Arabidopsis thaliana: one gene and its partners. The protein of the gene in region 3 interacts with the protein of the main gene of each other region in a pairwise test. Each region holds a gene or a part of one and is shown on either strand. Other genes may lie near its edges. The genes, in order: SK32, GSK1 and AT3G11150.

What was found.
Region 1: the proteins of AT3G11150 (region 3) and SK32 interact in a two-hybrid assay, tested with the Arabidopsis thaliana proteins (one large-scale study listed by BioGRID).
Region 2: the proteins of AT3G11150 (region 3) and GSK1 interact in a two-hybrid assay, tested with the Arabidopsis thaliana proteins (one large-scale study listed by BioGRID).

Annotation. Positions count from the first base shown.
Region 1 is NC_003075.7:289,712-301,339, forward strand, and holds SK32 (shaggy-like protein kinase 32), read right to left. Parts: upstream 7,769-11,628; 5' UTR 7,292-7,768; coding exon 7,229-7,291; intron 6,951-7,228; coding exon 6,705-6,950; intron 6,626-6,704; coding exon 6,533-6,625; intron 6,389-6,532; coding exon 6,329-6,388; intron 6,241-6,328; coding exon 5,968-6,240; intron 5,840-5,967; coding exon 5,765-5,839; intron 5,679-5,764; coding exon 5,622-5,678; intron 5,542-5,621; coding exon 5,401-5,541; intron 5,277-5,400; coding exon 5,226-5,276; intron 5,146-5,225; coding exon 5,050-5,145; intron 4,971-5,049; coding exon 4,887-4,970; intron 4,782-4,886; coding exon 4,679-4,781; intron 4,482-4,678; coding exon 4,405-4,481; 3' UTR 3,877-4,404; downstream 1-3,876. Other genes in the region: BSK3 (BR-signaling kinase 3), read left to right, coding at 1,096-1,174, 1,255-1,475, 1,559-1,694, 1,793-1,926, 2,032-2,137, 2,215-2,300, 2,397-2,585, 2,676-2,828 and 2 more; ANL2 (Homeobox-leucine zipper family protein / lipid-binding START domain-containing protein), read right to left, coding at 10,030-10,401, 10,945-11,306, 11,398-11,572.
Region 2 is NC_003070.9:1,943,284-1,954,979, reverse strand, and holds GSK1 (GSK3/SHAGGY-like protein kinase 1), read right to left. Parts: upstream 8,235-11,696; 5' UTR 8,121-8,234; coding exon 8,016-8,120; intron 6,858-8,015; coding exon 6,765-6,857; intron 6,552-6,764; coding exon 6,492-6,551; intron 6,407-6,491; coding exon 6,134-6,406; intron 6,045-6,133; coding exon 5,970-6,044; intron 5,896-5,969; coding exon 5,839-5,895; intron 5,666-5,838; coding exon 5,525-5,665; intron 5,414-5,524; coding exon 5,363-5,413; intron 5,256-5,362; coding exon 5,160-5,255; intron 5,043-5,159; coding exon 4,959-5,042; intron 4,832-4,958; coding exon 4,730-4,831; intron 4,650-4,729; coding exon 4,563-4,649; 3' UTR 4,130-4,562; downstream 1-4,129. Other genes in the region: ARA-2 (Ras-related small GTP-binding family protein), read left to right, coding at 2,294-2,514, 3,462-3,891; AT1G06380 (Ribosomal protein L1p/L10e family), read right to left, coding at 9,092-9,856. UniProt on the Arabidopsis thaliana protein: Phosphorylates BSK1, BSK3, BSK5, BSK6, BSK8 and BSK11 in vitro. May mediate extracellular signals to regulate transcription in differentiating cells.
Region 3 is NC_003074.8:3,488,778-3,498,401, forward strand, and holds AT3G11150 (2-oxoglutarate (2OG) and Fe(II)-dependent oxygenase superfamily protein), read right to left. Parts: upstream 5,877-9,624; 5' UTR 5,823-5,876; coding exon 5,037-5,822; intron 4,539-5,036; coding exon 4,209-4,538; 3' UTR 4,027-4,208; downstream 1-4,026. Other genes in the region: AT3G11130 (Clathrin, heavy chain), read right to left, coding at 273-338, 425-652, 738-817, 904-1,012, 1,095-1,193, 1,293-1,420, 1,499-1,577, 1,678-1,766 and 2 more; AT3G11160 (uncharacterized protein), read right to left, coding at 7,460-7,711, 7,804-7,856, 7,963-8,022, 8,124-8,157, 8,242-8,280; AT3G11165 (uncharacterized protein), read right to left, coding at 9,169-9,298, 9,389-9,405, 9,487-9,554.

The DNA of each region.
Region 1 (11,628 bases), on a different chromosome or scaffold from region 3:
CTGAACCAGATCCGTGTGATCAATATATAAAAAGCCCATGGGCCTTGAACAAAACAACGTCACATCGGTGATTAACACTGTTTTTAGTGCTTAATTAGTTCCCTCCCTGATTACAAAAGTCCGTTAGTGATTACGGCATGAAGAGACAACGGGAAAGAGGAAGAAGCATATCTCTCTCTCTGTCTTGTTCTATGAACGAGACCACTTGCTTTAACAGGCGGTGCTAATTATTTTCCAGAAAATAAAAAACCCCAAAAATCTGTACGACAAACAATTTATTAATCAACTCTTTTTTTTTCTTTCTATAAGGTTAATGGCCAGATTCTTTCTTCTCTCACACCCATTAAAATATTTCATCAACTTGTCGGTAAAATTAATTCTTGGCTTATTCTATCTTTCTTTCTCTGTCTTCTTCTTTCAATTTTTCAATAACAATAATACAGATGTGTATACATTAGATACACGTATACTAGTACTAAACTTCACTGTGTGATCTGATCTAGAGTTTTTATACTATCAGAATAAATAATAGTCGACAATTTGGGATTTGTTTATGGTTTACTTCACATGAATCACATACGTTCATGTCGATTCCTTTGAGATACTGTCTCGATTTCGTTTTTTTCTCTTGTTTAATTTAAAATTATTGTAAAGCACGTGGATTTGCTTGTCTTGGTTTTGTTTTCTCCTTCGACCTCTTTGATGAAATCGAGGAACCTACAATTTCTTCGTCGATCCAAATGGTAGCTTAGTGGTGGTGATAATAGGTTTCTCCTCTTGATTGGCTCCAGCTTTAGGTTTTTTTTTTTATCTTTGTTTCTGCTTCGATTCCCAAAATTTACCCTTTCGATTTTGAGTCTAACTAGTCGAGTTGACTCAGTAGAGTCGAAAGGTACGACCTTTTTTCTCTACTTCACTGATTTTGAAACTATTGAAGATTTGATTTGGTAAGATCATTCATTGGCTGTATAATTTTATTGCAGCTTCTGGGTTTACGAAGAGACATCTCCTAATTGAAACAAAACCTTTCCTTTCCATTGGGCTGAGAAAAAAGCAAGAGTCTTTGAATATTTTTTGGAGCGTGGTTTTATTTAGATGGGAGGTCAATGCTCTAGCCTGAGTTGTTGCAGGAACACTTCACACAAGACAGCTGTTCTTGAAGCTCCTGATGTTGGTTAGTTTCTTTAAGACAATGAATTAGTGTTTTTTCTACTTGGATCTAAGAAGCTATAAGACATTGTCTGATTGATGCAGATAATGGAGAGAGTAGTGAGATCACTGATGTTCCTAATTTCCGGGAGTATACTTTAGAACAGCTTAAGGCAGCTACTTCTGGTTTTGCCGTGGAGTATATTGTATCTGAACATGGAGAAAAGGCTCCAAATGTTGTCTATAAAGGGAAATTGGAGAACCAAAAGAAGATTGCTGTCAAGCGTTTTACTAGAATGGCCTGGCCTGATTCACGACAGTTCTTGGTATGTTCTTATCTTTGGAAATTGTAGTTTGTTTCATCTCTTTTTATTTTGATGTTGAGAATGTGTTCTTCTTCCTTGTGCAGGAGGAAGCGAGGTCGGTTGGTCAGCTACGGAGTGAGAGAATGGCCAATTTACTCGGATGTTGCTGCGAAGGTGACGAGAGGTTACTTGTAGCAGAGTTTATGCCTAATGAAACACTAGCCAAACACCTTTTTCACTGTGAGAATCATTTTTCCTATATATAGCCTTTCATTTAATAATCTTGCCATGCTAGTCTTGGAAGTTATGGTGTCTAAGTGTACTTTTTATGCTACTAGGGGAAACTCAACCTATGAAATGGACTATGAGGCTACGAGTTGTTTTATATCTAGCACAAGCTCTTGAATACTGCACCAGCAAAGGCCGTACTCTTTACCACGACCTCAATGCTTACCGGGTTTTGTTTGATGAGGTATTTATTAGTTATATATAAGCAGTTTTTCCTCTTTCTTCGAAACCTGTCTATGTTTCTATGCTATTCCTTCATTCTCTGACGCCTTAAGGGGCTTTTAATAAGGAATGCAATCCAAGACTATCTACTTTTGGCTTGATGAAGAATAGTCGGGATGGAAAAAGTTACAGCACTAATCTTGCTTTCACCCCTCCTGAATATCTACGAACTGGTACATCATTGGTTTTTTCTCCAAGATTCATATGGTTGAGATTAAGTTGCACGTTCTGTTTGTTATTGTATTTACAGGGAGAATTACTCCAGAGAGTGTAATATACAGCTTTGGCACTCTTCTGCTTGATCTTCTCAGCGGAAAACATATACCTCCTAGCCATGTAAGTATTTTAGCCATAATAAGTTTGTTTTCCATACGAGATTGCAGCTTTTACTTGAAAAGGTGAAGGTTGATTCTTTCAATCTGTTTTATACAGGCCCTTGATCTGATTAGAGACAGAAATCTCCAGACGCTAACTGATTCTTGCCTAGATGGGCAGTTTTCTGATAGTGATGGTACAGAGCTAGTACGCCTAGCTTCTCGTTGTCTTCAGTATGAAGCTCGTGAGCGGCCAAACACCAAATCTTTAGTGACTGCCTTGACACCTCTTCAGAAGGAGACAGAGGTTTCTATTGATTTCCGAGCCATTAGAATAACTTGGACCAAGTTTCTTTTTGTTAACTCGAGATAATTTTCCTTGTATTGTAAATTGCAGGTCCTGTCTCATGTTCTAATGGGTCTACCTCACAGTGGTTCAGTCTCTCCTCTGTCCCCTCTTGGTGAGGCTTGTTCAAGAAGGGACCTGACCGCTATGCTTGAGATCCTGGAGAAACTTGGATACAAAGACGACGAGGGTGTCACCAATGAGGTACCTTTTCAGAATTATGTTGGAAGAATCAGTGGTTTGGCTCTGTTAATCAGTGAATAGTTTCTTTCTTGGTTCTTCATGGTGTTGCGTTACTTTGGTTTGGCAATGCAGCTCTCGTTTCATATGTGGACAGACCAGATGCAAGAGTCTTTGAACTCGAAGAAGAAGGGTGATGTGGCTTTCAGGCAAAAAGACTTTAGAGAGGCCATCGAGTGTTACACACAGGTCGAGTTTTGTTTTGTACATAAAATGAAGTAGACAAACACATAGCATTAGCCTGATTATCTTTCTTGAAACTTTGACAGTTTATTGATGGAGGAATGATCTCTCCAACAGTGTGTGCTCGGCGTAGTCTGTGTTACCTAATGAGTGACATGCCGAAAGAAGCTTTAGATGATGCAATTCAGGCTCAAGTGATCTCTCCCGTGTGGCATGTCGCATCATATCTGCAGTCTGCTTCCCTTGGTATCCTGGGAATGGAGAAGGAATCTCAAATCGCACTGAAAGAGGGCTCGAACCTTGAAGCAAAGATGAATGGAGTTCCCCGAGTGAAGTAAGATATATAGCATTTAAGATTTTTCTTGTTGGGAAAGATGAAAGAACATCTTACCAAGTAAAAGGGGTATGAATCTTTTGAGCACAATGATGGGAAAACACTCAAGAGCAATGCAAAACTATAGACCCTCTTCTTCTGGTTGTATGAGGTGTTTTGCCCTTCTTGTGCCTCTTTTTATGGGCATTGAATTGAAGGAGTCATTTCCTTTATTAGCTTTGAAATCCATTTCCTGAAACTTTATTGTACTAAAAAACCCATTATTGCAGAAACCAAAAGAGGGTTTTGTTTCTTTTGATCTATAGGTCACACAGACTAAACATGTATGAACTCTTGTCTTTTGACTAAAGAGATATTCGACAGTGAAAGGGGTTTTTGTGGTTAAATTCCAATAGTTGAGTAAATTATTCAAAATTTTAACCAAACACAAATTCGTGTCAAAGTTACAGGACTTTCGACTCCTACAGTATAGTTTAATTACTCGTCCGATTGTGAAGTTAGTTAACTCTTCATTCATCTTCCTCGCTTTTCAACTTTAATTAAACAACATGTGCATTTCAGTTAAATAGCTTACCTGGAATCTGTGCCAGTCCTGAGATACAATAGAAAAATGTCGTTAAGAGTTTATTTGTTCACCCAAAAACCATCTTAGAGAGGAACATGAAACGGAATCTTAGCTTGCAATATTAGGGCAAGGGAAAATGATCTTGATGGATTACAAACACATAAAAATGATACACCAAACATATAAGGGGGGTCAGATTTGTGGAAAAAAAAACAAAAAAATGAAAGTGAAGGTGAAAATAACAAGGATAGCAAATTGAGAGAAAAGCCAGTCAGAAGAAGAAGAAGAAGCTTCATGACCCCAGTTATTTCACACCTCATCAGGTCCCGGCGTACAGATTTCCAATCTCTCCTCCGGCGACAAAAGCTTGGAAGCAGAAGTGGTTCAAAATTGATGTACACACTGCAGTAAATAGAGGGAGAGAAAGAAAGCTGGATTTGGACACGCTATAAATGATCCTAAGAGCTACTTCCCGTTCCCTGGCAATGTGCTGGAATTAGACGCTGTCGCAGCTCTGTTGATGCACCCGCAAGTTCTGAATAGTCACATACAATGGCAACAAATCAATGTGACAGAACCAAATGTAGACCCAATCCGTCAAAACATTTCTTGTATTCTGCTGCAATTTCTACTCTTCACATATGATTGTGAAATCTAAACAAAGTCGGCTAATGATAACTTCACAGTTTTTGTAAGGATGAAGCTAAGGTAAAAGATAATATATGTACTGACCTTGGGCAGTGAAGTTAAACAATGGAGGCAGTGCTCTTCCATTTGGCAGTGAAACATTTGGATCCCGTAAGTCATCAAAGAAGGGGTGTGCACAAGCTTCCAACTTAACAAATGGAAAAAAAGTGTTTTGTAGAATTTGAGTTAGAAAATTCCAAATCAGCCAAGGAGATTATATAGTTTTGTGGTGTCCAGCAGGATTTAGTCTTACTGCAGTGCAACGAAGGTTTGGTGAGTACTGAAGGAGTCTTGAGACGAGGTCTACTGCTTCAGGTGGCATTCGCTTGTGGAAAATCTGAAGAGTTATATGCTACATTAAATTTCATTTGAACAAGCACACGCACCAAAGAGGCACCTGCGATTATTTAACAAACCTTGTGCCACGGGTGAGCTTTGATTTGAGGAAACTTGAACTCTGTGTAATTCGGATTCATACACCGTATTTCTTCTCTTGTAGGCGTCCCAAGAATCTGGTAGATGTACAGATGAGTAAACTAGTAAATTAAATATAGAAGAGAGATGAAGGAACACGAGGGATCAGGTTAAGTACCTTGATTATCTCCACCAGCTGATCAATGCCACTTTCCCCGGGAAACAGTGGCTACGGGTAGAAAATCAACAGTTGTTATCAGATTAAATGTTATTTCGAAGTAATAATGAAAACTGATCAATCAAAATAAAATGGTTCATCATAACCGAAACTCTACAATGTATAATATACTTACTTGACCAAGTAAAAGCTCTGCCATGACACAACCGCCGGACCACATGTCAATGGCATTGGTATACTCTGTCGCCCCAAATATAAGTTCTGGGGCCCTGTAGTACCGGGAGCATATATAGGATATGTTAGGTTCACCGGGTACCTGAGACGCAAAGGGTGTTAGCCATCATTATTCAAATGATAACTCATCTCCAAGAACTCATCAAAAAAAAATGAACATACCAACATCTTTGCGCTTCCAAAATCGCATATTTTTAATTGATGAGTTTGGGGATTAACCTATGAAAGCCACATCATAAGAGAATCAATGAATTATCCTTTCATACGTCTTACCAACCTTTAAGCAGAAATTATTCACACTATACCAGTAGATTTTGTGGCTTAATGTCACGGTGACACACCCCAACCACGCGATGTAAGTAGTTCAGCGCACGGCAAATCTGATATCCAACAAAGCAACAGAAATGACAAAATCAGCATAAGTGAAATTATAAATTTCCTATGTATTTGTAGCTTTATGCTACACAGATTACTAGAAACGAGTAACCGGAGAGCTAATAGAACTCACCTGATAAGTATAGAGCTGAACAAAGATAATTGGCATATGCTGATTCATTTTGGTATAGTGCTTCGATGCTCTGTATACAGTTTCGGGAACATACTCAAGGACAAGGTTGAGATACAGCTCATCCTTGTCAGTTGTTGAAAAGAAAGAATGCCTCAGCCGCACAACGTTGGGATGGTCTTGCAAACGCATGATCTGAAGTTCTCTGTTCTTGTATCTTTTATCCTGCAGAACCTTCTTAATTGCAACTTGTTCACCCGTTTCCAGGCACTTGGCCTATCCAAAAATCAGACAGAAAGTCAAATTCTGGGAACACAAATAGTTAAGGATTAGTTATGTTCCTGCTATAAGAATTTCCACCTACCTGGAACACTACTCCGAATGAGCCGGTTCCAACCACTCGCTGGGCCATGTATGAGATAGTCTGAAACAAGAAAGAAAGAGTAAATTAAAGATACACCCAACAGAAGTGAAAAGAGAAACAATCTTTTCATAAAAGAAATGACTATCATGATTAATAGCTTTTCTCAAACACAACGGCAATCAGAAAAAAAGTTAGTTGAATGACCTGCTTTGGCTTTCCATCTCTACCCCCAACTGTCGTCGTAATAACTTGTCCCGTTTCGGTCCCACTGCCGTTTACAACAGTTGTTTCCATATCCTTCACAAGCCAAATGAAGATGTGAGCAGTGGCTAATGGAGATCACGACGACGATATATACATTGATTAAGCAACTCACCTTATCCTCGCGGTTGGCATTTCGCTCGTCTCTAATCTTCATTTCGATCATAACATCGGGAAGCTGATCATCCACGGGTTTTTCCGATACAGCAGGCACATTTGACGTTCCAGCAACACTTTCTTGTGACAAAACGTCAGCTTTCATCTCAAAACAAGAACTATTTTGGTCAACCTGCATTGGATCAACACACAAGTTGTCGTTCTCTTGATCCAGCTTAGCTCTCTTCAACGCATAGTCCCCACCCTAAAACAAACACCAAAAACACGAAATTAGTCAGGTCAACATCAACATACTCATCCAAAATCAATGAAACAGCAGAGATAATCAAATTCATACAAAAACATAAGCATTTACTAGAATATCTAAAACTAAAGATCTCAAAAGCTTAAATTTGACTTGTAACATACTATAAACGACATCAATCCGTAATTTCTGGATGAGAATGAGAGAAAAATTTCAACAATCAGAAATATAAAATCAATCTGATCTTGAAACGAGAGACATTGAAAATGGATACTTACAGGATCCGAAGAAATGGAGGTCCGACCCGAAGCAATGCTCTTGAGACGACGCATCACGTTCATCTTCGCTTTATTCACCAACCAAACGAGGAACAACTCAGAAACCCTAAATCTCCGAAAAACTTCACCAACACAGCTTCATGCGGAGAATAAATGAATCAACAGATTCAGATATTTCAAATTCGAATAACTCCGAAAGCAAAACCAAAAATCTAAGTTTTTCGATTCTTCTTCAAACGAAAAATCTGGGGAAAGGAAGAATCTCCTTCGTTCTTCTTCGAGCTTCTTCGGTTTCTTCTTCTCTTTCTTCACGACCCAACCCAGGTGGAATCTTTCTCTCTCTCTCGTGGGCAAAGCCAATCATGCCAGCCTCGTTCTCTTTCTCTATCTCTCTCTACTCTTTTTTTGGTCAAACATTGACTCCTCACCGTTGATTTATCGCAGCAGCTCATCCGACGGGTTAGGATGAATCCGCCCGATTTCGACAAGCTGTGATTACTAAAGTACCCCTGTATTGTTTGTCTATTTACGTATCCCGGGATTAGGCAAAAGGATTTGGGGGTTTTGAATGATTGCATCTAAGCCCACGCGGAATATGCGGGCACTGTATTATTTTCATTTGACCATCTTTGACCACTTCCCTCTTTTTGCTCCTGCAACAGATAATTTTAGTAATTTCTTACTGTTTTTAGACATTTTTAATAATGTCTCTGTTCAAAATTTTAAACTATTAATTATCATCATCCTATGAGGTAATCTATAAACAATTCAAGTAATCTATTAGATTGAGAAACGAAGTAAAATAAAACATATATTGGTTAGTTTACTATCTGAGGAATGTTAATGAGGATGTGGTTATTACTGATTGAACCATTGTCTTATGGGAAAAGATGTCAATTAATCCCCCAACTTTCAAAAAATGGTCATTTTATACGTCAACTTCGTATGCTGCCGTTTAAAACATGAACTAAACGTTAACTAACTTTTAAAACATGATTATTCGTTAACCAGGCCAAAATAGACATGCCGTTATCAGTCATTAACGGAACTTCTAACTTCTGTTATCATCCGTTAACGACTTTATTAGTCAAGTTTTAAATTGTGGTCATTTTAAACATCGACTTTATATGTGGCCATTTTAAACATGAACTAAGAGTTAACTACCATTTAAAACATGAGAAATTCGTTGACCAAGCCAAAATAAACATGTTGTCATCATTCATTAAAAGAACTTATAACATTCATTATCACTTGTTAACGACTCTATTAGTATCCCTAAAATGACTTTGTTTTGAGAATAATCCAAAGAAAATCAGGATTGTTTTCTAAATGAAACTCCAGTTCCCCAAATCTATTTCTACAACCGCTCAAACAAGACGAACAATCTTATAATGAGTCTTCAATTTGCTTCCATGATTCCTTTTAAAATTTAAAACAAATATATAAACGAAAACACCTTTATTTGCTTCCAATTACTGGCACTGCGGTTATCTCTATATCAAACTATGTTCTTGGGTTCTGCTTAAAACTTTTTGATATGGAAATTTCATATGGAAAAAATCTTTATGTTCTTTCGATTATTCTCAAACGACGTTGTTTTGGATAGATTAGCAGTCATTAACGAGTTTCTAGGTTCTACTGATAAAGACATGTCTATTTTGGCCTGGTCAACGAATTTTTCATGTCTTAAATGGTAGTCAACGTTTACTTCATGTTTTAAATGGCCAAATAAGAAGTTGATGTTTAAAATGGCCACAATTTGAAACTTGACTAATAAAATTAACGGATGATAACGGACATTAGAAGTTCCGTTAATGACTGATAACGGCATGTCTATTTTAGTCTGGTCAACGAAAGATCATGTTTAAAAAATTAGTCAACCTTTAGTTCATGTTTTAAACGGCCACATACGAAGTTGATATATAAAATGACCATTTTTTGAAAGTTGGGGGATTAAATGACATTTTTCACTTGCCTTATGGGCTTATTAGTGCAGTATCAATCTAAAGTCTTTGCAAAATGAACGGATAAATAATGGCACATGATATTGTTGTAGGCCCAATTAATGTTATAAGATCTAGGAATCATTAGCCATAACGGGCCAGGGCTTTAAAATAAAGCCCACCACCGTACAGCTATTTAAATTCACTTGCTTACGTTTTTCTTTTCCTGTCTGCAACTTAAAAACAACATATTGAGAAAGAGAAAAGAACCAAACAAACAGAAGGGAGAAAACGACGGCGTAACGTCTGGTTCATCGCACCAGTCTGTCAAGGGAATGACGTGGCGCAACGAAAATGGCGGAATACGTAAGCCCCATATCATGCAAAGGAAGGAGACAAGGTATAGCATTAAATGAATGAATATGCCTGCAAAATACATTTAATGCTCCACGAGAGACAGCTTTTTTTTTTTTTTTAACTTGAAACGATACAGATCCCATCCAACATAACATCATCATCTCACAGTTCGCGTTTTCTAACCACAACACACCCCACGCGTGTGGCTTACTCGCGCTACATAATAAAAATAACAAACACAAACAAAAAGAGTAAAGAGGGGGTTTCCAAACCCCAGTCAATACCCGAACCACCAACTCCTCCACCGTGATCGGACCCGAACCCTTTTACGTCGTTGTCCCATCACGGTGACAAAGGAGTTGGATCTCGCCCACTCGCGCGGTTCGTTCTTGACTCGACACCCCCTCCCTCCCATAGTACAAGACCAAAAAAACAAGTTATATAAAAATTCACAATTCATTAAGAAAAAGAAACACACGCACGCGCCAGTCTTGATCAAGATCAGCTTTCGCATTGTAAAGCGGCACGAATCTTCTGAACGGTGCATGATATTAGGTTGTTGACAGTCTCCACCGACTCAACCGTGAGTTTTGCCGTTGGGAGATTGTTTACAAGGATTTGAAACGCCACTGTCAAGAGGGATCCACCACCAACCGGTCGCTGGTCACCATCACCTGACCCACCACCGTCAATGCCTCCGTCAGGAAGAACAGCGAAACCGGACGGAAGGAGAGCCACGTAGGATGAATCACCACCGTTCATCACCACATGCATGGCGGGAATGTCGACAGGCGCGTATACTACAAGCGCTCCAGATGCGTCAATGCATGTCTCCTGAAGAATTAGCATACTACTCTGATTCGCGTTCATTGCCTGTAGAGTTGACAAAACCAAAACAACCTCAGCTAAAGTGTTTATTTACGAGAATTGCCATTCTGACCAAACAGTAACGCTTCATGGTTAAAAGAAAAACAAGTCAAAACAACTTTTCAGATAGACCCAACAAAAAAAAAGGAAGTGGTGAAAAGTCAAAAACTACAGAAGCTAAGTAAAGGTTGAAACTGTCCTATTAATTTTGACTTTTGAAACGCTTACAAAAGCTGTGACACTTTTGTTTTCTACTTACTAATAAACAAATATAAATTGAAATTATAGTGTCATCTTTTGATATCACCCAAATTCCTAACTTGTCCTTTACCAATCCACTCTTTTGTCCTTCATACCACTATCAACTCCATGGACAAAAACGTCACAATCACCTAATCCATATTCCCCACAAAACTCGAACCAATCACACACACTTCTTAGCTAAACCGGAACTCTATTCTATAGGCCGGTTTTACTGAACTAAGATCTACTAACCGGTTAGAATAGCAATGTTAAACCAGGAGTGGTACGTGATATGGAAAAACTTACATTGGAGCGGAGCAGAGAGACACCCTGATCTTGACCTTTGGTGATATGGGCCATCTCCTGCATGGGACCACCGTTGGATAGAATATCCCATTCGCATCTCATCCGTTCGTTCCGCAAGAAATCATACAGACGCTGTGGTGCAGCAGGTAGCCAAACAGAAGTGGCAGCACTCAAAACAATCCCCGGAGGCTCTCCTGGATCGTCCACACTCTTACGGGTCATAACTCGAACGTCCGGGTCAACATTTCCAACAGTGAGCTTGCTCCAATTGTGGACCGACGGCGCCGAGATTCCCGAACAGAAGTTGAACGTCATGCGTTGAGCTAACTTCAGCATGCTTTTTCGACCACCAGGCGTTATTGCTGCTTTTGCATGTAAAATGGTCAAAAGTTTTGTAACATAATGACAAGATTAATTATGTTAAGCATAATGACAAGTGTGTAAGAAACGGACATGTGTTGTCGTGAGATGTAACGGAGGAAGAAATGAGGATGGCGAGACACTCGCACTGTCTCTGAAGTGTAGCGAGCCATCTTTGAGAGCCAAAACCAAGGCCTGACCGTAGCAACGGCCTGTACAGCTGGTGGATTTGGTTCTCGTCGTATTCTGCATGCTCCACCCACGTGACCTGCACAAACCGGAAATCAAATCCATATGAACAAGCAAACCAACCGAAACACGGTC
Region 2 (11,696 bases), on a different chromosome or scaffold from region 3:
AAAACACAGGAACCCGAAAACGAAAGAAACGAAATTTGAGCCGGAAAAAATCTGATTGGATTAGTGACGAATCGAGACTCACCTTTTTGTTCCTTGACAAATGAAGAATCTGATCTTCTCTATCTAACCCAAAAAAAAAAATGAAACGTGAAATTTAATCTAGGGTTTATATGAAAAAACTCGGAAAATAAAAATTAAAAAATCTCTGTTTCCAGCCTCATATGTGTATTTTGGAATAATATCATATATGCCCCTCTACTCTATAGACGAAACTACTATGACCACTATATATTTATACTCCAAAAGTCAAAAGTTTCTTACCATAAAGAGATAATACCCTTTTCCTTTTTATTTTAAAACAATTATAGGTTGGCCTTTACATACTTTTTCACAAATGATAGTAGTAAGAACACATTTGAAATTTTCACATATTTTTTATGAATAATATTTGTCGTCTAATACATCATTATTATAAAATATTTTAATATTTAATTTATAACAAATAATTTGGTATATTAGTAGGGAAAAACAACCATGAAGAATTTAAAATTGTTAGTTCAAAAGTATATATATTGGGTGTTCATGTGACATTATAAAAATATAGGGGAAAAATTAAAAACTAATGAAATAAAGGAGGGAAAGTGAAAATAAACGTAAAGTTATACGTATAAGAGTCGTAGTACATCGTGTGTGTATGGAAGCTCTCTTGGATATGAAATATTATTTTATGTTTTTGATATTTTTGTGTATTTTTAATAATAAAAGGTTTGGTTTTAGCTATGATTATTTACTGGTCAAATCGAAGGGGCTTAAGACTCTCCTCTGGTTACATTTAAAAGGAATCGAACGACCGTCACCGAGTCGTTGCTTTGCTTCGCTGTCCACAAGTACATGTCATTAAACAACGTACTTGAGGACCAATTGGATTTGTCCGTGACGTAGAAAGAAGGTGACAGCCTCAGTGGTAATAGCACTTCCCTTCCGTTTAGAAAATTTGGATAAGGCTAGTTAGCCAGCCGGACTCGCACTATTGCCAGCTGGCACGAGTACACCAATGAGTCCGTTACGCGCGAGGAGAAGCGCGTGGAGGATCGGACACGTGATATGGAGAAAGAACGTGAGGACGCGTGATGCCGTGTGCGATGCGATGTGTGGACCACTTTTGGGGCTAAAATAGCTAAGTGACTTACCAAACGTGTCTAGGACCTCGTTTTGGACCGTTTGACACGTGTCGAAACAGGGGACGCTTTTGAGCGTGTGGTGAACCAGAGTGATCAAGTGTCATACGTTTTTGTTTTGGATGGTATTCGTTAGTGGAACAGGAATTAATTAAAAATGGAAGCATATGGGAATAGATTTATTTATGGTTAATGTTGGTCTATAAAAAAACAAAGACTACTCCGTATGAAACTAGTTGGTCAAATTAATTGTTGGTTGCACATTGTCTAATATTGTCTTTAATGATTGATTAGTTGTAGGCTTGCAGTTACAACCTCGATAAGATTTTTGTGTTGTCAGATTGTAGTTGTTGTGATTTTTAAAATTGTACCTATATGTGAATAAATATATTGAGAAAACAAAATATATATACATGAGTCTAATTAGGATGATGTTATTGAATTATTGGGCTTTCAAGATTTTCCTTAGTAGAGAGATGGACCAGAAATGTTTTAGCTATTCTTTGTGTATGTTGCATAAGTAACACGATTGTTCGGATGGAGCAACATTATAGTAAGGTGTTATGTGAACCGTAGAAAGTTTCTGAGTAATACATAATTTCAAAAATTTATAATCTAATAAAAAAGTAAACTTGATATTTTTAAAAATCAATACAAATATCTCTAATTTTATAAACTCTCCAGGTTGCTAGCTAAGGAGTAGTAGCTACATTCATTGAAACCCAAACTTAAGAAAATGAAAGTAAATAGTATCTTCATCCTGAAGATAAATTTTAGAAAAGTAGGTGTATACTGTTTATTGTTAATCTTGTTAAATTGTAATTAGAAAACTGTATTAAGTTAAAAATGATTATGTTGTGAGTGGAAGTTGTTAACAATATATGGAGAAGATTTCCTAAAATGTGCAACTAATTAAGCGGAATCATCTTTTTAAAAATTTAAACTTTTTCTGTTCAAAAACAAAAAGAAGAAGAAAAAAGGGTGATTTAGAGCCAACCCGACAAAAGCTTTCATCGTCATCATCTGAATCATTAATTCATTATCATCAAATAATACAGCAGCAAGCAACACAGTAAAACCCAATTCCCTAATCCCAAAATTCGATCTCTCATCTGATGGCTGGTTACAGAGCCGATGAAGAGTACGATTACCTCTTCAAGCTCGTGTTGATCGGCGACTCTGGTGTCGGCAAATCGAATCTGCTCTCTCGGTTCACCAAGAACGAGTTCAATCTCGAATCCAAGTCTACTATTGGTGTTGAGTTCGCTACCAAAACCACTAAAGTCGAAGGCAAAGTCGTCAAAGCTCAGATTTGGGATACTGCTGGTCAAGAGAGGTCAGATTACGTTTCCTCTCTTGCTTTTTTTTTCCTGCTTACTTTATTGAAAATCCTTAGGATAAGGTTTTAAAAAACCATCCTTTTTGGCTCGATTTCGTTGTTGAGTTCTTGTTGGATTCGCTGTTTATGAATTCATGGTGTTTGATTTATGTATCTGAATCTGTAGCCTGATTTGGATATTACAAGTTCAAAGTGTCTTGTTCATTTTTCCTTGTTGGTTTACTAGTTACGACTATTTGTGGCAGAACTAGAGTTTTCTGGTTTTCGGAACGAAACTGGTTGTGTCTGAATTTGTAAATCTCTTAGACTTGAGCAACTTTCAATATGGTTCAGAATCTCAATTGTGCTGAATATCGCTCGCAGGCTGCAGTTTACTCGGAATATACTTTTAGGTTTTATTCACATTTGGGCTACTAATGGTTTTCTTTTGTGGCATAGCTTCTGTGTTTGTAAGATTCTTGTTCATAGATCTGTATCCCTCATATATGGGTCTACTTGATTAGCTTATTCAATCCTCTCCTGTCTAGGTCAATTCCCGTTGTTAAAATGTTGTTTGTAGATATCTGTTATCTAAACCTCGGTTACTATACTAGTATTGTGCTGTTCCATCCGTTTCACACATTGATATTTGTCTGAGCTCGTCTGTGATGAACTTCTGAACCCAATATACTTGTTGAAAACAACATTTCTTTCATCTCCTCTGTCTTGTCTTGCACTAGACATAGATAACATTTTGAATTTTGCAGCAGAATTCTTCATTAACTCTGCGATTGTAACTTTACAAAGTAACCATTTGGTAGATGGATACCATGTAATATGGTTATCGAAAATAGTCTAACTTTGTGTACTTAATCTGTAATGTTACTGAACTTATTATTGTAGTTGTTATTATATCTTTGTTAACAACATCTGAGAAAATGCTGGTTTTGTTTATGCTATGATAGATACCGAGCAATCACAAGCGCTTATTACAGAGGAGCTGTTGGTGCTTTGCTTATTTACGACGTGACAAGGCACGCAACATTTGAGAATGCAGCAAGATGGCTAAGGGAACTAAGAGGACACACAGACCCAAACATAGTGGTGATGCTTATAGGGAACAAGTGCGATCTGCGTCACTTGGTGGCAGTCAAAACAGAAGAGGCTAAAGCCTTTGCTGAGAGAGAATCCCTCTATTTCATGGAGACTTCAGCTCTAGACGCAACCAATGTTGAAAACGCATTCACGGAAGTGCTCACTCAGATCCACAAGATAGTGAGCAAAAGAAGTGTTGATGGAGGAGGAGAGTCGGCTGATTTACCGGGAAAAGGAGAGACGATAAACGTTAAAGAAGACGGATCGGTTCTTAAGAGAATGGGTTGCTGCTCTAACTAGAGTGGGGGGATTGTAGATTTGGCTTGATTTGGTTAGGGTGAGACAACAAATGATAATCTCTTTGGGTCTTGCAATCAAAAAAGAAATAAGAAACGATTACTTTTAAGATCATGTGTATGCTTTGGTAACTTTGGCCTGTAAGGTCCTTTAAAATTTAAGTACATGATTGGTAATTTGTTTTCAACACTCCCACCACTTGTAATTTGTAAACTTGTAATAAACTGAAGAAATGCAAATCATCACCTACGTAACATTTCGAAAATAGATCTAGCGACTTTTAATTTAAGAGGATGATTATTTATCCCTCTAGTCTTTTGTGTTGAGAGAAGAAAACAAAAAAACATCTGTAGCTAATCTTTTGGACATGACATGGTTTAATATTATCACCTCGTTTTTCTTTTGTCTCTACGTATCTGTCAGAATTGTTTTACAGACAAAAACATATACAAAAATACACGAGGAACAGTGTCTCTCTCCACTCTCCAGGCTACGGAATAAAAAAAAAAAAAACGCAATTATCAGCATCTGATTTCTCAAAAAGCTGAATATGACTTTACTACGGGTATAGAAGCTGATAATAGTCGTGGTTAATATACTGTTGAACCTGTCAACTATCAAATAAAAGTAGTAAACCTGCTTTTCTCCTCTTTCTCTTCAGACATGCACAGTTTTTAACTGTTTTGTAATCCTGTGCTCATTTGTCGTCTCACATGCTCAGGTATTAGCCTGTTGATTAGCTCCATTGAAGCTCCACCTAACTGTTTCCACATCCAAAGAACAAATTGGGTTATGTTGAAGTTCCACTAAAGAAACATCATCCTTTGCTATTGATTTTTACCTCTTGTTTGAAATTGAACAATGGCGGTAATGGACGACCATTTGGAAGACGGGCGTTTGGCTCTCGGAGTTCATTGAAAAACGGATGAGCACATGCTTCGAGCTAAAAATAGACAGAGAACAAGACAAATGTTAAAATGAATCTTAGCTTTATCCAACACTTGGAAGATTCAAAAAGAGTTATCACTGACGACTACTTTCGATTATAAAAAAAAGAGGGAGATACTGACCGCAGTGCAGCGTAGACTTGGTGAATATTGAAGAAGCCGAGATGCAAGGTCTATTGCTTCTGGAGGCATCCGTTTATGAAAAACCTGGAGGTCAAGGGTACAGTATATGGTTGATGCTATAAATGAATCGCTTCAATGTATACTGTGTAGGTAATGAGTTCAGTAATTGCTTAACCAGGAACAAAAGGTGAGATGAACTACCTTGTGCCAAGGGTGAGCTTTGATTTGTGGGAACCTAAAATCTGTGTAGTTCGGGTTCATACATCGAATTTCTTCACGAGTTGGAGTACCAAGAACCTAAAACAAGGTAGCAAGTGTACTTATGGTAACATATTTACTAGATTCTAGTCTAATACCAAAGACAAAAAAGAGCACATCCATTAGTCTAATAAAGGAGACTTCACCTTTATGATCTCCACAAGCTGATCAACTGAATTTTCTCCTGGAAATAACGGCTGTAGAGAGAGAGAGAGACTGGCTTAATATAACATTGGGTGCGCACTTTTTGCATTTTGCAGAGACTCTTTATTTAACAAGGTAATTAACGCATAAAAATCCACACTAACCTGGCCCAGAAGAAGCTCTGCCAGTACACAACCAGCAGACCATATATCTATGGATGCTGTATACTCTGTGGCGCCAAAGATCAGTTCTGGAGCACGATAATAACGGGAGCAGATATATGATATGTTTGGTTCACCTTTGACCTAATAGTGAATTACCAAAAATTTAAAAGGGTTACCAAAACAGAGAACATGCTGCTCGCACTTAATGGTATAACTCACACTTATATGGTAGCTCAGTGAACTAGATGCGTAGATACATAACCAAGCCGAAAACACACAAAAAAGGTGAGATAATGAAAAGATAACACCCTTACCAATACTTTTGCACTTCCAAAATCACACAGCTTAACCTGATGGGTCAAGGGATCAACCTACAGTATGCACCAGAAAGTGAGATCCAGAAATAGTCAAGATTACAAACCACATGGCATGCTAGATAACGTACCAAGAGATTTTGTGGTTTCACATCTCTGTGGCAAACACCGGGAACAGTATGGATGTAAGCCAAACCTCTAAAGATCTGCACAATAGATATTTCAAATCAGTTTCAGAGTAAATTCTAATAAATTATAATATTTGTGAGAACTAACTGCAAATAACAGTACATACTTGATATGTGTAAAGCTTGACATAGAAAATTGGCATCCTCTGATTAGAACTAGTATAGTGCCTCAAAACCCGGTATAAAGTCTCAGGTACATACTCCATAACAAGGTTGAGGAAGAGCTCATCTCTACTCGTTGTAGAGAAGAAACAGTGCTTCAAGGAGATGACATTTGGGTGATCCATTGGTCGCATTAGTTGCAACTCACGGTTTTTATAGCGTCGATCTTGCAAGACCTTTTTAATGGCTACTGATTCTCCAGTTTCCAAGCATTTCGCCTAAAATCGTAAATTTCAGACTTGATCAGAAAGAAAGAAGAGAATTTATGTCCTGGAACCGCTAGTACAGAGAAGCACAAAATACCTGAAAAACAATCCCGAATGAACCTGTTCCAACAACCCGCTCAGCCATGTAACTAATGGTCTGTAGGGGACAGAATGAAGATCATGTAAGGGAGAGATGAATTAATTTGACTTGAAAAAGGGTTTTAATGGGAAAGTAACACTTGCTGGAGCATTTGATGCGAAATGAATAACCCAGACCCCGCAGAAACCTTACACATGGTACTGTGCTATAACCGTAAGTGTTAACTACTAGTTAGTTATCTAAGAGATTTTGCAAACATTAGCATCAAACCTGCTTTGGTTCGCCGTTTTTGCCTCCAATAGTAGTGGAAATGATATGACCAGTAACAGCGTCATTTCCCTCAATAACAGCTGCAGACATTTCCTGCAATCCACCTCACATATTAGTATAGACATTAAACTATTTTGATCAACTACAAGGTGGAATAGAGATGGCAAGCATTTACTGCATCCGATTATTTCAACAAACCTCAGGATAGGTATGACTGTATGAGAATGCTGTTATTGCTATTATACAAGTGGTCGGAATTAACTTATATTGAAAACGTGAAGCTAACACATATAAAATGTACCAACTAACCAGTTGTCAAGCCAATAGAAGCACTCAAGCAAGATGCAGAAAGAATAAGAAAAATAAAGTAAAGCATGGGTTAACCAGAGGTAAACAATGGTGATAGAAGTTCAAAAATGTAGTGATTTTAGACGTCAAACAATTTATGGGTATTAGATATAGAACAAAAAAAAAAATCATAGATACAAAATACAAGTCAATGGAAGAAGTTCTGCCAGAGTGAAGGACAAGCCATAAGACAAAATTCAGAATAAATGTCGATGGCAAATAGAAAAGAGAGAGAGACAGAGACAGAGAAGCAATGGGCCAAGAAAACCATAACTAAAGGAATACTCCGAAACCTACCGAGAGTGAATTCAGAGATCTACAAGTAAACTGTACTTTGTAGAATGAACAGTGTTGAAATAAATAATATCCAAACAAGCAAATTGTTGTACTTGAAAGTGAACAGTGTTGAAACAAACAATCGAAATATCCAAAAACAAATATGAAGGGGAAATATTCAACCTAGTTTACTGAAAATGTAAGTTTCCCAAGCGCAAGAAACTATCTCAAATTATTTTACACTAAATTTTTCAACAAGATTCGAAGATTACTGCTACTTAGATCTCCGGTAGAGAAGGTTGAAGTAGTAGCTGGGAGATACCAAGAGTAATCTAGCTACTGCATGCATACAAATGAAGTAAAAATCACAGTCTCCTATCAAAACGCCTCGTCGGAGAAAGAAACAAAAAAACTCTCCGGTGAGCTCAGATCAATACAAGCGACGAACAAACACAAGAGCACGAGAATATAGATCGATTCGACTGAACTAAGACATAGAACAAAGAAAGTAGGAGCTAGATCGGAGTAGATCTAGAACAGCCACCAAACGATAATTTCAAATGCACTGTTTACCAAACACAGACGGTAACAGTAACACACAAAACAAAGAGACGGGGAGAAATAAACCTTATCAGAATCCAATTCAGGACGGCGTTTCAAAGCGTCGCCGTCGTGAAGCTGCAGCGGCGGAGCAAGAGCATGAGGCTGAGGCCCCAATGGTAATGAGGCCATGTGCTTTTTTACTCTTTTCTCTCTCAACCACTGAACAATGAGTAAAGTCTAATTTTTCCTCTCTCTTTGCTTCTAAATTTCAGAAATGGTTCAAAGACAATGGAGGACCCACGGAAGACTAGAGCGCGTGAATGTAACGGTCCAATGAGAAAACTACTTTTTAATTGATAAAGCACTGAAAAATTCTGATAAACACTTCCTTAGCATTTAATGATAACTAAATTACTAAGTTGAGTTAGAACTCCATTAAATATTCTAACTGAATAATAATGGTATCAAATGAATGAATACTCCAATCATATTTCCCAATTTAGATATTAAGCTTAACTTAAAGAGACTTTTCTTTGTCCCTTTAGCCTGAAGTGTTGCCTTTGTAAGACAATAGTTAACGATAGATTCTTTTTCATTACACTAACCAACAAAAGAATTACAGTTAGCATTCATACAAAGATAAAATTTAAGTTGCAAAGGGCTAAAAAAAATGACGATGAGACTAGTTTACGAAAATGTAAGATTAACAAGCAGTAGTGGGGAACGTAAACTATACAAAAATAAGACTCTGAGTCAAAGGGATTGGAAAGTGAAAAGATATATAACCGTTACTGTGATATCGAACAAGAACAATTGTCAAACAAAGAAAGATCAATGGAATCTACCTTTGTGGAGAGTAATTCAATAGAGTAGGAAAACTAATATTCTTTCCAATACATCACCAAAAACCATCTTTTTTAGAGAATTCATGTGACTATATATCTGCATAACAAAAGAAGATACCAGTAAAATCAATCAAAAGACCCACTCATGGAAATTTGTATTAAAACCATCTGTTTCACTCTAATCAATCTAGACAGTTTTGTTCAGTCTAGGCATTATCTTAAACATTACAGCATCACAAATTCCACTAAGAAAACAAACCAAAACTTGTGACTCACTGGAACCAGATCATCCATCAGCTTCTTTAAACAAATTCATCAAGCAACTGATTGATAAACAGGCAATGCCAAGCTCTCAAGTAACTTGAGATGAAACAATTTAACATTCTTCCATCTACCAGGAACTAAATCACCAATCCCATTCATGGCCGCTACAACATTCTCTGCAATCTCGTTCCTTCCCATTGACAACTTCGCTACTTTAACAACACTGCAAGTACCTGTACCAACGAAGAACAAAGCTGATTCACAAGCTTTTTCGATCTGCTCTTTCCAACTACCATGCCTTAAGTTAATCGCAATCGGAGTCTTATTCTTCTTAACAAACTCTTTCCCCAACAGCTTCGGCAACATCGGCATTAGCCTCCTCTCCGCGAAATACAACTCGAATCGCTTCTCCTCCTCTAATTTGCGTAAATCGGATTTCAATTTGGAGACTTTAATAACTGTGGTGATTGGAATCTTCTCTGCTTCGATCTTCTTCAAAGCCGCTTCCTTTGTGATTTTGTTCTTGTGTTTGTCGTCGATGATCAAACAGAGCTCCGGCGGATCTTCGGCGACCAGATCGATGAGAGGATGAGGAAGAGGGATCATCAAGGGGTTAGTACGATCCAACTGAGGGATTCTCTTCAGTGTCACGATTAGATAGACGAAACCGTCGTTCTCGAGTGATTCAGAGTTCTCGGTCTTGGATTTGGAGTCCCACCATTTTAGCAGAGACTTCACGGCTCTGTTAACGTTCTGCGGGTCAACCTTCGACTGGTGTCGCTGCGGAAGTGCAGCCGTAGTAGTAGTAGTACTCATTCTCCGGTGAGAAGACGGCGCAATGAACACAGGTTACGTTTGCGGAATTAGGGTTCTGAGCAAAAATTATAGGGTTTACGATTTTTTTCTTTTTTTTTTCTTCTTTCGACATTTTATTCGATTTTTTTTTTTGTAAAACTCAAAAATTATATGCGTTTTATTAATGATGCGCCACTTTATCCTTTTTTCTGGGGGTAAAATTGTCATCTGCTCAATCGTTTTCTCTGACCGCCGGCGAAACTCTTCGCGCTTCCCCGACTGCCGGCGAAAATCGACGCTGCTTCCCGTTTCCGGTTAATTAAGAGCTTTCCTCTGTACCTCTTCAACTCATTGTAGGCTGCGTCTTCTTCAATGGCAACAAGGAAGCGGAAGAACGCTGATTCGTGTAGTGACGCTCTTCTAAATCAGAGCGAATTCGATCTCCGAGGCAGATATTCTTATTCAATTATCTCAATCCCTTGGCACCGTATTCTGGTAATGTTTCCAAAATAAAGATAAATTGCAATCGCTTTAATTTTCTGATTTTGTGGTGAGTGATTGAACCTGTGTCAATTCTATGCTGCTGAGTGTTTCTCAGGTTGATCATAATGGATAGGTGCGCCGTGCGGTCATTTGACATTGCGTCCCATTGTATAAAGTTCTTCATGTGACGGGCCTTGATACTACTTCCTACGTAATGGTCAGTATACTTCTTCATTATTTTACAAGAAATCTTGAATTGTGGTATTAACAATGTGTTGTTACTTTTGCAGATGATGTAAAAGCTTTTTTGGTCTACTAAGAAGATAAAATTAGAACCTGTTAATATTGATTTTGAATATAGGCTTCTCCAAAATCTGATGTTACTGCAATTCCAATAAGATTTGCCTAGGTTAATGACGAACAAAGTGAAGCCAGCTCACCATTACACTATGTTGATAGTTCCTAGTTCCTACTATGTTGAGAGGTTGATGTAACCGGAAGTGAGTTAGAGATCCCAGATCCCTCTGTTTCCTCTTTATTCGTTTTTGCATTTTAACTCTGCAGCTGTATTCTTTAATGTTAGTTTTAATGTTTTGTATTGAACATTTCATTGCGCTTACTAGCTTCTGCTGTGTTAGGTCTTTGGTCCTCGGTTTCACCTGTCTGTTGGACCGTATGATATGCTGCTCATGGGTCATTGTGCCTCTCAATTTTCTGAAGCTTCCTCTCATCCGGTGGAGACTATTACGGAACTCGCTCATGGCACTGGTACTATTTCCTGTCATGCTTTTCACTTTCACACTTTTTTTCATTGCGGGAATTATCAAGTCTACAAATCAAAAGCTTTTATCTCTTATCCAATGGATCTTAGCAGATATATACAGCATACTCTGCCATAAGTAATTCAGGTAATATGGATGTACTTGAATAAATGTAAACTACACATGGGAACATCTTTTCATTGTGAATTATGTTTTCCATGTCGTTTACTCTGATTATGAATGACAGGTTTGTGCTGCCTGTGTTACCCATAGCTTTGATATTCTCTGGGTATACATTTGCTCAAATGGAAGCATCTGATTTATCATCAATCATTAAAGAGAAGCAAGTCCCTGGAAATAACCATATCATCAAGTGGTCTCCTAAACTAAGACTTCCAGTCTTCATTTTGCCTGCTACCAATATCCCGAGGCACTACACATGAGTTTATTCTATCAAGTTAAAAAACTAAACACTCTAGTTTATGAGTTACTCTCTTTTTCTTTCTTTCTAATTGTGCTAAAAGGAATTCTTGTTTTCTCAATGGACACGAACCAAGGATGCGATGTACAGACTTATCGGAAAAAAGGATACAAAGGGAGAGTAAAGAGCATTCTCT
Region 3 (9,624 bases):
CTATTTAAATATTAATTAACAATGTGAAATAGAATTTAAATCCAAGAGACAATTGTCTTCTAGGATATCATGTAACATTTAATTATTCTTTCATTTGCTTGAAAATGTCAAAAATGCACTTGTATATTGAAACGGAGGAAGCGTCAAATCTCGATTTCTAATTTTCTACATTATTGTTTCTATCAGAATGACCTTTTTCGTCAAATTGGCACAATAATGACTTCACCAAGAAAATAGATCCACACATCTGATCCAAGATAATTATCACATACCAGATTTTCTGCACCAGGGAGGTTTCCTCTTTTAGCAAGATTGACAGCAAGTTCCAAATTGTTCAACTGTAATATAAAGGCATAGATTTCTTAGCATGTCATGATGAATAGATAGATTATATAGAGAAGAACAAAGTAAAAGTTGAACATACTTGACCACTAATAAAAGGTATTATGGTGGCCTCATTTACTGTTGCCAAAAGAACTTGTCCTCGCCTATTAATGGCATAGAAACCCCCAACTGAGGAAGCTTCAGACGTTAAGAAAATTGGGTCCGGACTTATCCGATTTCTGTAGATAGCAGAAGCTGTCTCTAGATCATATACAAACAGCAGGCCAAGCTTGGTGATGACATAAATCAAGTTAAACTTGTGAGAGACCTGTTGGGAGAAAGAGAAGTCGGTGTCATGAATTTTTCACAAGAAACTTACTGAAGTTAATTGAACAGCTAATGCAACTACAAACCTGCATGGCCACAGGAAAATCATCAGCAAAATCTGGGGGGAAAAAGAGATCTGCCTGCTTTTTTGTAAATGATGGTTTCCCTGAAAAAAAGCCGCCCACCTTTAAACATCAGACTAATACCAACTAACAATAACCATGAAAATATAGAGCAGTAGTTTAAGCTAACCTGGTTGGGCACCAAGTTCAATAACATGCAGCTTTGATGTTATCTGCCCAGCATTAAAGCTCTTGCTTGCAAATGATATAAGAATCGAAGGATTCTCATTCCCAGGGACCTATCAATAATAATGTCGCTTGTCATACTACAGTTCAAGATCCGACCATGGAATGAAGTAGCAAAGGTATCACATAGTTTACCTTAAACTGAGCAAAAGATGCAGCATGTGCTTCAAGGGCCTGGCTCCGCTGTTGATCCACAGAGAAAAGCTGCATATTTCCTTTCACCAATTGTGGTCTCTACAGAGGATAATAATGACAAGATTCCGTCAAAAATATACAACATGACTGCCGTTATGATGTCTTAATTCAACCTAATACGTGGTGCAGGAACCCTACCTCAGGAGAGCCAGGGGCAATTCCAATCAAGACCAACCACTTCTCATTAGGAGAGCACTTATAGTTTATAATTTGATTGTTTGCCAAATTAGCCGTTCTATCAAACATCTTAACTGGCTCAGAATCACCTGGAAATATCGAAGCAAAAATGAGAAACAACATATACATGATATGAAGAAGCTGACAGTAAGTTAAAGATATAAAACCTTCAATTGACCAATGATACACAGAAGTTTGTGTGACCAGTCCCAGCATCTTAGGTGTGATCCACTTCCAAAAAGCAACCTATAATATCCAAAAAATTCAGACCAGTAAAATCAGAGTCTGTCTGAAGAGTACAACATGAAAGATAATCGGGTTACAATTTGTTTGCTTCAAAATTCACCTGCTCAGGCATCTGATGTGACTTCAACTTTGCCTTTGCTTCAATGTTAAATATCTGTAGATGATCCTGAGTAGTTCCTGGAACTTGAGCTATATACGATACGAATTTAAGAAAAAGTTAACAACAAATTAAGGAAGAAATAAGTAATAGCTTATACAAGGAAACATCCAGTACAAACCAAAATTTCTAGTTTAACTACACTAAGCTTGAGACACAACACTGCCACGAGAAATATAACACGTGTTGGAAAACAGAGAGCGCTATACTGATGTTTTCTACAGCATTAAACATGCTATCACCCCAAATCCAGAAAAAGAGTATAGGACTACAACATAAACTCGAAGAGTGTAGTTACACTTCCATACTACTTTAATAAAAATAGGTTTTCTATCAAGTGACGCATCACAACATGGACAGAGTCATTTAAACTTCAAATAAATCAAAACATCCTATCCGTAATAAATAGCATATGTACAGTTAACAAAATGAAGGAGAAGCTATCAATGGTAGTTCTGGAGAAAACTTTAATAGGAACCACTTATGGGTCTTATAACTGATCATACACTTCAAAAGGAGAATCTTATGGGTGTTATAAGTGATAATGCGATCGAAGGAAACAGTGTAATACCTTTTAAGGCAAGGATCCTCGAGTTTGGGTTCATAAGAGCAGAATCAGCAGTTATAGGCCTCCTTAAAGGCTGCATCGGCATATTCATATCGATAATTACAACACTGTTCTGCGGTGCCGTCTCTCGTACACATATGTACTTATCAGACTCCATAGTAACATTTGTAAAGGTGATGAACTGTTGACCGATCCCAACGCTCGGAAGCTGGAAAATTTCCAAAACAAAAGTAATCAATTGGCATAGTTCATTAACTTAGTTACAAGATCCGAGTAGATAAGCACATTGCGCAACACAATAACTTAAAACTAAGGACTATATACATTCAGATAACACAGATCTGAGCGTCCGCAGAGAAAATCTGATCAGAGAACTTGATCTCAACGATCGGGTAGAATTGAGAACAGAATGAAACTTGAATCAATCATATAACAGTGTGAGCAGAACCAAATCGATAGAAATCAGAGACTACAACTATAGAAACATGTTAATCGTCCAAAATTTTAGCTCGATTCCCGGAGATTTAAAAACAGAGAACTCACCGTTAGGACCTCCTTCATAATGATGGGCGCGTTAGCAGCCGCCATGTTTGACCTCAGATCGCGGCGAGAGAATCCGGGGCCAGAATCAGATCCACGGAAAGGACGGGACCGTCAACGGCCGAGCGATGCGAGAGAAACTAAGGAAGATTTGAAATCGCAGCCAGATCTGAGGCAAGTGAAGGAGAAAGGTGATGATGGTGGAGAGAGATTCGTTTTTTTCTTTTTGGAAAGTGAGAAATGACGAAATAGCGATCCAATCGGAGTCACTCGTCGAATATAAGGAGAGAAACCAAAGGAGAGACGACGTGCTACAAGTGCCTGAGCTGTACGATGTGCTTTTGCCAAAGTTACGGGTTCGGATAGTATTCGGGTCGAGTTTCAAACCGCGTAAATCGACGGGTCGGGTTTTGTCACGACACACACTACTTTTTGGGAATTTTATGCGTATGTTTTGAGCAATGGTCAATGACTCAATCATGGTTAAAAATTAAGATGAACACAAACGAGAACGAAGTTTGAAATAAATTTTCTAAATATGGAGATGAAACAAAAAAAAAAAAACTTTTTACCAAAAAAAAAAAAAGATATACGAAATTTTCTATTATATCTTATCAAAATTAGGGTATGAAGACCAAAATATTTAAATTTATGTCGATTTAAGTGTTGCATGAAAAAATCGTATAAGAAATTTACGTCGATTTAATTAGTGTTTAGTGAAGATTGTATTACTTATAATTTTAACTCGAATTAAATGATATAATCAATTTTGATGTATATAATTCATTCTCACAAGAAAATTAAAGAGCAACACCAATATGGATCACTAAATAAGTAAACATGTATACGTAGATTTGAAGTCATTCATTGATATTCTGCCTCAATGAGAGATTAAAAGCCAACACTGTATTTCCTCATTTTCAAAAACAGGATGCTATAAGCGTTTGTGTCACCTTCTAATTATAACAAATAATCAACATTGGAAAACAAAAGTTATGAAGTAGAATTTGGTTATGATCTCAAAAGACTCAGTTTTAAAGTACATCATCAAAGTCATAGATTCTTCTATATAAAATCTAGGAGTTGAGTTTAGTGTGATAGAGTCATTGGTGTAACCTAAAAGTTTGATTTTGAAATAGTGACAGTTTTGATATGAGTATATATGAAAAAATTAGTTGAATGATGGAGTGACTATCAAAATAGAACATTCTCTGAACTGAATCGAACAAAAACAAAAATATCTCAATGCTAAAATGCTAACAATCCGCTGAAAATCAAAAGATTTTATGGGGGAAAAAAAGTAACAACAAGAACTATAGTACCAATTCAACCCAAGAAAGAAACAAACAAATCAAACATCGGTTCGTCAATCTTTTAAAGATTTGATTCTGTATCTGTCAAGTGGATCCCTGAAGAAGAGACGTTCTTGGTACACTCTCCATGCGTACTCCTTGAAACTAAAAGGCCTAAATGCCCTTCTCTCATCACTTCTTGCTCCTCCATCTTCTTCCTCCTCCTCTGCATACTCTTCTTCTTTGTCGCCGTCACTGATCATATCCTTCAATGATGAAACCATACTGTCCATGGGAAGTGTAAGCATCAATGTCATTGTTACACACTTTACTGGACCATCTTTTTGTCCTGAACACAACACTGGTCGATATTTCACTCTTTTGACCTCTCCATTTCTCCAAACCTGCCAATTTTAAGTTGTTTGTTAGCTGTTCAAAAGTTGAAAACTATATTGTAGAAAGCTGTTAGGTTTTGACCTAAAAAAAAAAGAATTGTTGAATTCTATAGGACACTAAGTACAATTGCGATGTGATGTGTATAAGTATTTAAATATCGGAAATTTCCAAATTCTTATTTCTTTCCCAATGCCATAAATCTGTTTCAAACGAAAAGTGAAAACACATTCCCCGGTTATGCTCCACAATTGTTGTTGTTGTCAACAATAAATATCGGAAATATCCAAATTCTTGTTCTCTTTTTGAACGATGCGTTGGAAAACATTTATTTTGGATAATGTTTAAAATACATTAAAACAGCCAGTTAACGGTATAGTGGAATAAAGTTCCATTACAAAGGATGATAATTTGATAATTATTTAAGGAAGACAACTAACCAATTAATTATAGATAAATAAAAGAGATATATGTGTTCTGTCAATTGTCAAAAGCAAAAGAGAACTAACCTGAGCAATGTCACCCAACGTCACAAGAACCGAGTCAACTCGGGGTAAAACGGACACCCAACCAGACTCGGTTAGCAAACAATACTTCTGTTCCCTTATCTGATACTGTAAACAAACAACAAAAGGATAAAATCCGTTGGTTACCTCCGGTTCATCATCAGGAACACCTTGGTTAACCCACATCAGAGTATTAAACCGGGTTGAATCATATCCAAACCCAAGTGCATTCGCCAGCATCTCTACCGTCTTCAGTCCAACTTTCTCTAGAGTCCGAGTGAACTCACGGAGCGAACTCAGATTTAACTCGCTCGAGTCGGTTGAACAGTCGGCGTCAAGGCAAAACGATGGCGTTTCAGCATCGGCTTCGTAGCCTAGCGGCCATTTCTTCGGAAACGATGATTCCTTCTTCTCTTCACTGAGCTCTAAGAGCGAGAGTGAGTCAGACTCGGCTGCTTCAGCGATCCCAGGAGGGAAAAGAATATCGGAGTCATCGTTAATGAGTTGGAAATAGCCGAAATCAGTCACGGCGGAGATAAGATCGTCCCATTCAAGTCTATCTCCGGCGGAGAGAGATACCATCGGAAGAGAAGGGATGGAGCGACGGTTGGGGAGTGAAAGCAAAGGAGGGAGACGGTGGAAAAGACTGGAGAGAGCGTCAACTGCTGTCTCCGATTTGCTGGTGGTGTTGAGATGTGAGCATGACGGGGTCGGAGGAGGCGCCGCCGTGGCTCCACCGTGCTTGATCAAAGGTTGGTGGTGGTTGAGGTGAGCTGAAGAGAAAGCCATTGAAAGATGGATGTGACTTTGGAAGAGGCAGAGCGTATATGTGAAAACATATGTATAACTTGCGTGTACGCATGGAATATATAAGGCTTTACTCACACGTGCGGGATTATGTATAACCTAATTTTCTACCATCTTATTTGTAAAAATTAAAAACAATATCACCATTCACCAAGTACATTTATCATGTTTTTTTTCTTTCAATGACATAAGTTTTGCATATTTATTTTACAATTATTATGTTATTTTTTCCGATAACACGTTTTTACATGCTTGTTTAAACTAGAGGCGGCAAATATTATTTATATGTGGGTTTGCCATTACAGATTTTAGCAATTTTGTTAAGAAAATTGTTATCTAACAACATAGAGGAATGATTAATTACGGAAATTTGTTTTTTGGTTGAACCGATAAATATTCTTATATGTGTTTATTAGTATTTTAGAATCGCAAAATGAAGGAATACACAAATATAACCAACAGACAAGAAAAACATGATAAAATCATCTTTATACAAAATTGATATTTGTTGAATTGTTGATGTGTATAATGAGGAAAATATGATACAAACTAAGTAAAAGATCTTTTGTATAGTAAAAATTTGGGAAAACGATTCTCTTTTTTGAAATTACCACAAATATTATATTTTACTAAACATGTATTTCCATGTATGAGTAACCTCATCTGTACGTGTATCTATTAGAATCATAAAATACTTATCATGAGAATGTATCTGCATAAATAGATGCTGCTAGCTAGGTGTACAGAGAAATACTAAAACAAGACAAATATATAGTTCGAAATTCCTATTTTGGTAGTGGAAAATTAATAGAAATAATATTACATTTATTTGGATGTAAATAAAAATAATAACTTAAGGGATTTATTTCGTTAATAAGAAAAAATACCTATTAAATAACCAATCAAGCTAGTGTATGGAATGCTGTCATGATCAAAGAGTTTGTAATATAGTTGTTATTTGCATGCGCATATATATAACTATATAAAGTTCCTGCACTGTTCCCTTGTAAAGTTTTGGTTAGTTGTCGAAAATATTCTCAACTTTTTCGCGTATATTATTCCTAAATGTCCCTTACTTTGGATATGGTTGTCTATGGACCATGGTATCAATCCAGACTAGTTGCATAATTATCAATCGTTTCTCTCCTTTCCTTCTTAAACGATTTCTTCAAACTTCTGATCACACAAACTCGGTGCTGTATCTAGCAGTGTCAATGGAAAGCCTTTGCTTAACTCAACAAGACTTTCAAGTAAAAAGCACCAAATTAAGCTCTCGATGTCGAGAAAAATACTCGGATCCAGTAATGGAAATCCGTTGGTGGAGTTATGAATTGAAACAGTACTTGTCCGGTGTCGAAGTAAACTGTGTGTGTGATTTACTCGTTGCGCGACATTTAAATGATTAGGTGGTTATTATTAACAATCCATAAACCAGGCATCAGAATCATCGACAGAAACAGATTCTCTTAATTGATGATTATTCTGGTCTCCACGTTGAACATTTACAAAGCTTGAAGATAGTTAGGAATCAGACCAGATGCTTTTCCTTAGATCATCCCAAATACTCCACAATGACCGGATACAAAAAGCTTGAAGATAATTAGGATTTTTCCTTCTCCCTAAGATCGATCAGACCACATGCTTTTCCATAGATCATACCACATCTTTTTCGTTAGATAATCCCACATCTTTTCCTCCCATAGATCAGACGACCTGCTGACTCCCATAGACTCCCATAGATCAGACCTCATACGCAACATCTTTTTCCTTATATCAGACTCAGACCACATCCTTGACGTAATCCTAAACCACTCCTTATCCTTTAGTTCTGGCCACATCTTCTTCCTTAAATCGACGTGGTCTCCCGTCCACTGAAACACACATAGAGAAGAAGATGAAATAATAGCAATGGTCACAACAACGATGTCTTTTTATTAGTATTTTTTTTTCCTTTCTAACTAACCTGTCGCCGATCTGCCTCAAGTTCCGATACGTTTCCCCCAACCACAATATAACCTTCACACACACACAAAAAAAAATAGCAAGCTGACTAATTTCGACTCGACTCGTAGAAAGAATGAAAGAAAATCTAAAGTATAAAATATATCTCATCGATTCATACCTAAGCCCAATCCCAGAGCCATCCCTGGACCTCGAATTAAAAACATCTCTCTCTTCCACTCTACAATCACAAATGATATCAACAAAACGGTCAAAAGATTTTTGTTTTCCTTGCGACAAATACCTCGAAACCAAACCTACGGTTGCAAATTTGAACGTTACCTCTGCTACTGCGGGACGTATAGAAATTGCGGCACTGTAAGGATTTCGTCTTGATCAATAGATCGCACAAAGAAAAGAAAAAACAAAAGGGATAATCATGAAAAAATCTTCGATTTACCTGAGCGATTACGGATCTCAGATTGTTGTTCGGTGGCATGATCGAAAATTAGGGTTCGCCTCTGATTTGTGATTTTCTTCTCCTCTTCAAAAAAATGGGTAACATTGTCGAGAGTAACATTGACGGATATCTCGAGAGTTCCGTGGTTCAATGGGCTTATACTATTGTGCCCTAGCTGAGTTACTCTCATTGTTTATTTCATTCACAATCAGTTTATATTCAATTTAATAATATTAAAAAAAAAAACTTGAATCCCAAAGTCTGTTCCATTGTTACTCAATTAATGTCGACATTCACCTGAAATTTTATATGTACAGTATGTACTTTGTTGACAAATTATCCTTGCACTGAATTACGGAATTGATCATGAATGTAAATTGTGTGCCTCTAGTTATTTTCTGATATGTTTTTTTTTTTCATTTTTTTTTTGGTAAAAGGTTAAGTTTTATACCATTTTTGATTTTGGACAGAATTACAGAGATTACATGAAACAGATTAAAACAATCTACAGAAGATAAATACAATATTACTACTCAAATTGTTTTGGATCGCTTCTAAGCGTTCAAGACCAAGTTACGAGATGAAACACCGATTCCGAGCTCGCAAAACTTAGAAATTTGCGTGGTTGCCACAGAGCCGAAGCACTGGAATCCTCATCTTAGTTGCCACGAGCTAAACTATTCGAGGGCCGTCCACAAAACCTCGATATAGAAGCCTACAACTTCTCCACAAAACCTCGATATAGAAGTCCACAAAACCACGAGCTAAACTATCTGATTTCTGATATGGTTTTGGTCTGTTTGATTTCACACAACACAAATCAAACATCAGCACAACCATAGATTATAGTATTAAGTTTGTTTCTTTTCCCACAACATCGAACAAAAGACGAAACACAAAGCAACATCACAAGTTCACAATCACAGATTATAATGAGCATGTTCGTTTAGTTACCGCCGGCGGTTGCGTTTTGCCGCAGGTAGTTGCGGCAACTAAACGAACATAAATAGCTGCGTCTGCCGCAGCCGCAGGTAGTTGCGGCGACGAAACGAACAATCTAATTAATTCATTTTGTTCACAAAAAAAAAAAAACTAATTGTCTGCTTTCTTTTCTCGTGGAGTCAATAAAAGGACGAGCCAACTAAACGGATCCTGCTGTACTTCCTGAAAGAGTGAAAACACTTTAGTTTTTAAGAAACAAACAAAAACTCATAAAATCTCCCAAATGTTTATAGAAATCCATACCACTTCGGGAAAACGTTCTCTCAGATCTCTCTCCATCGTTCGAAGATATTCGAATACCTGGATTGTTTCTGGTGGAAACAAAAAAAAAAGATCAAGGATTTGTTTTTTTTCCAATCTCTAATTAAGAAAAAAAAAACT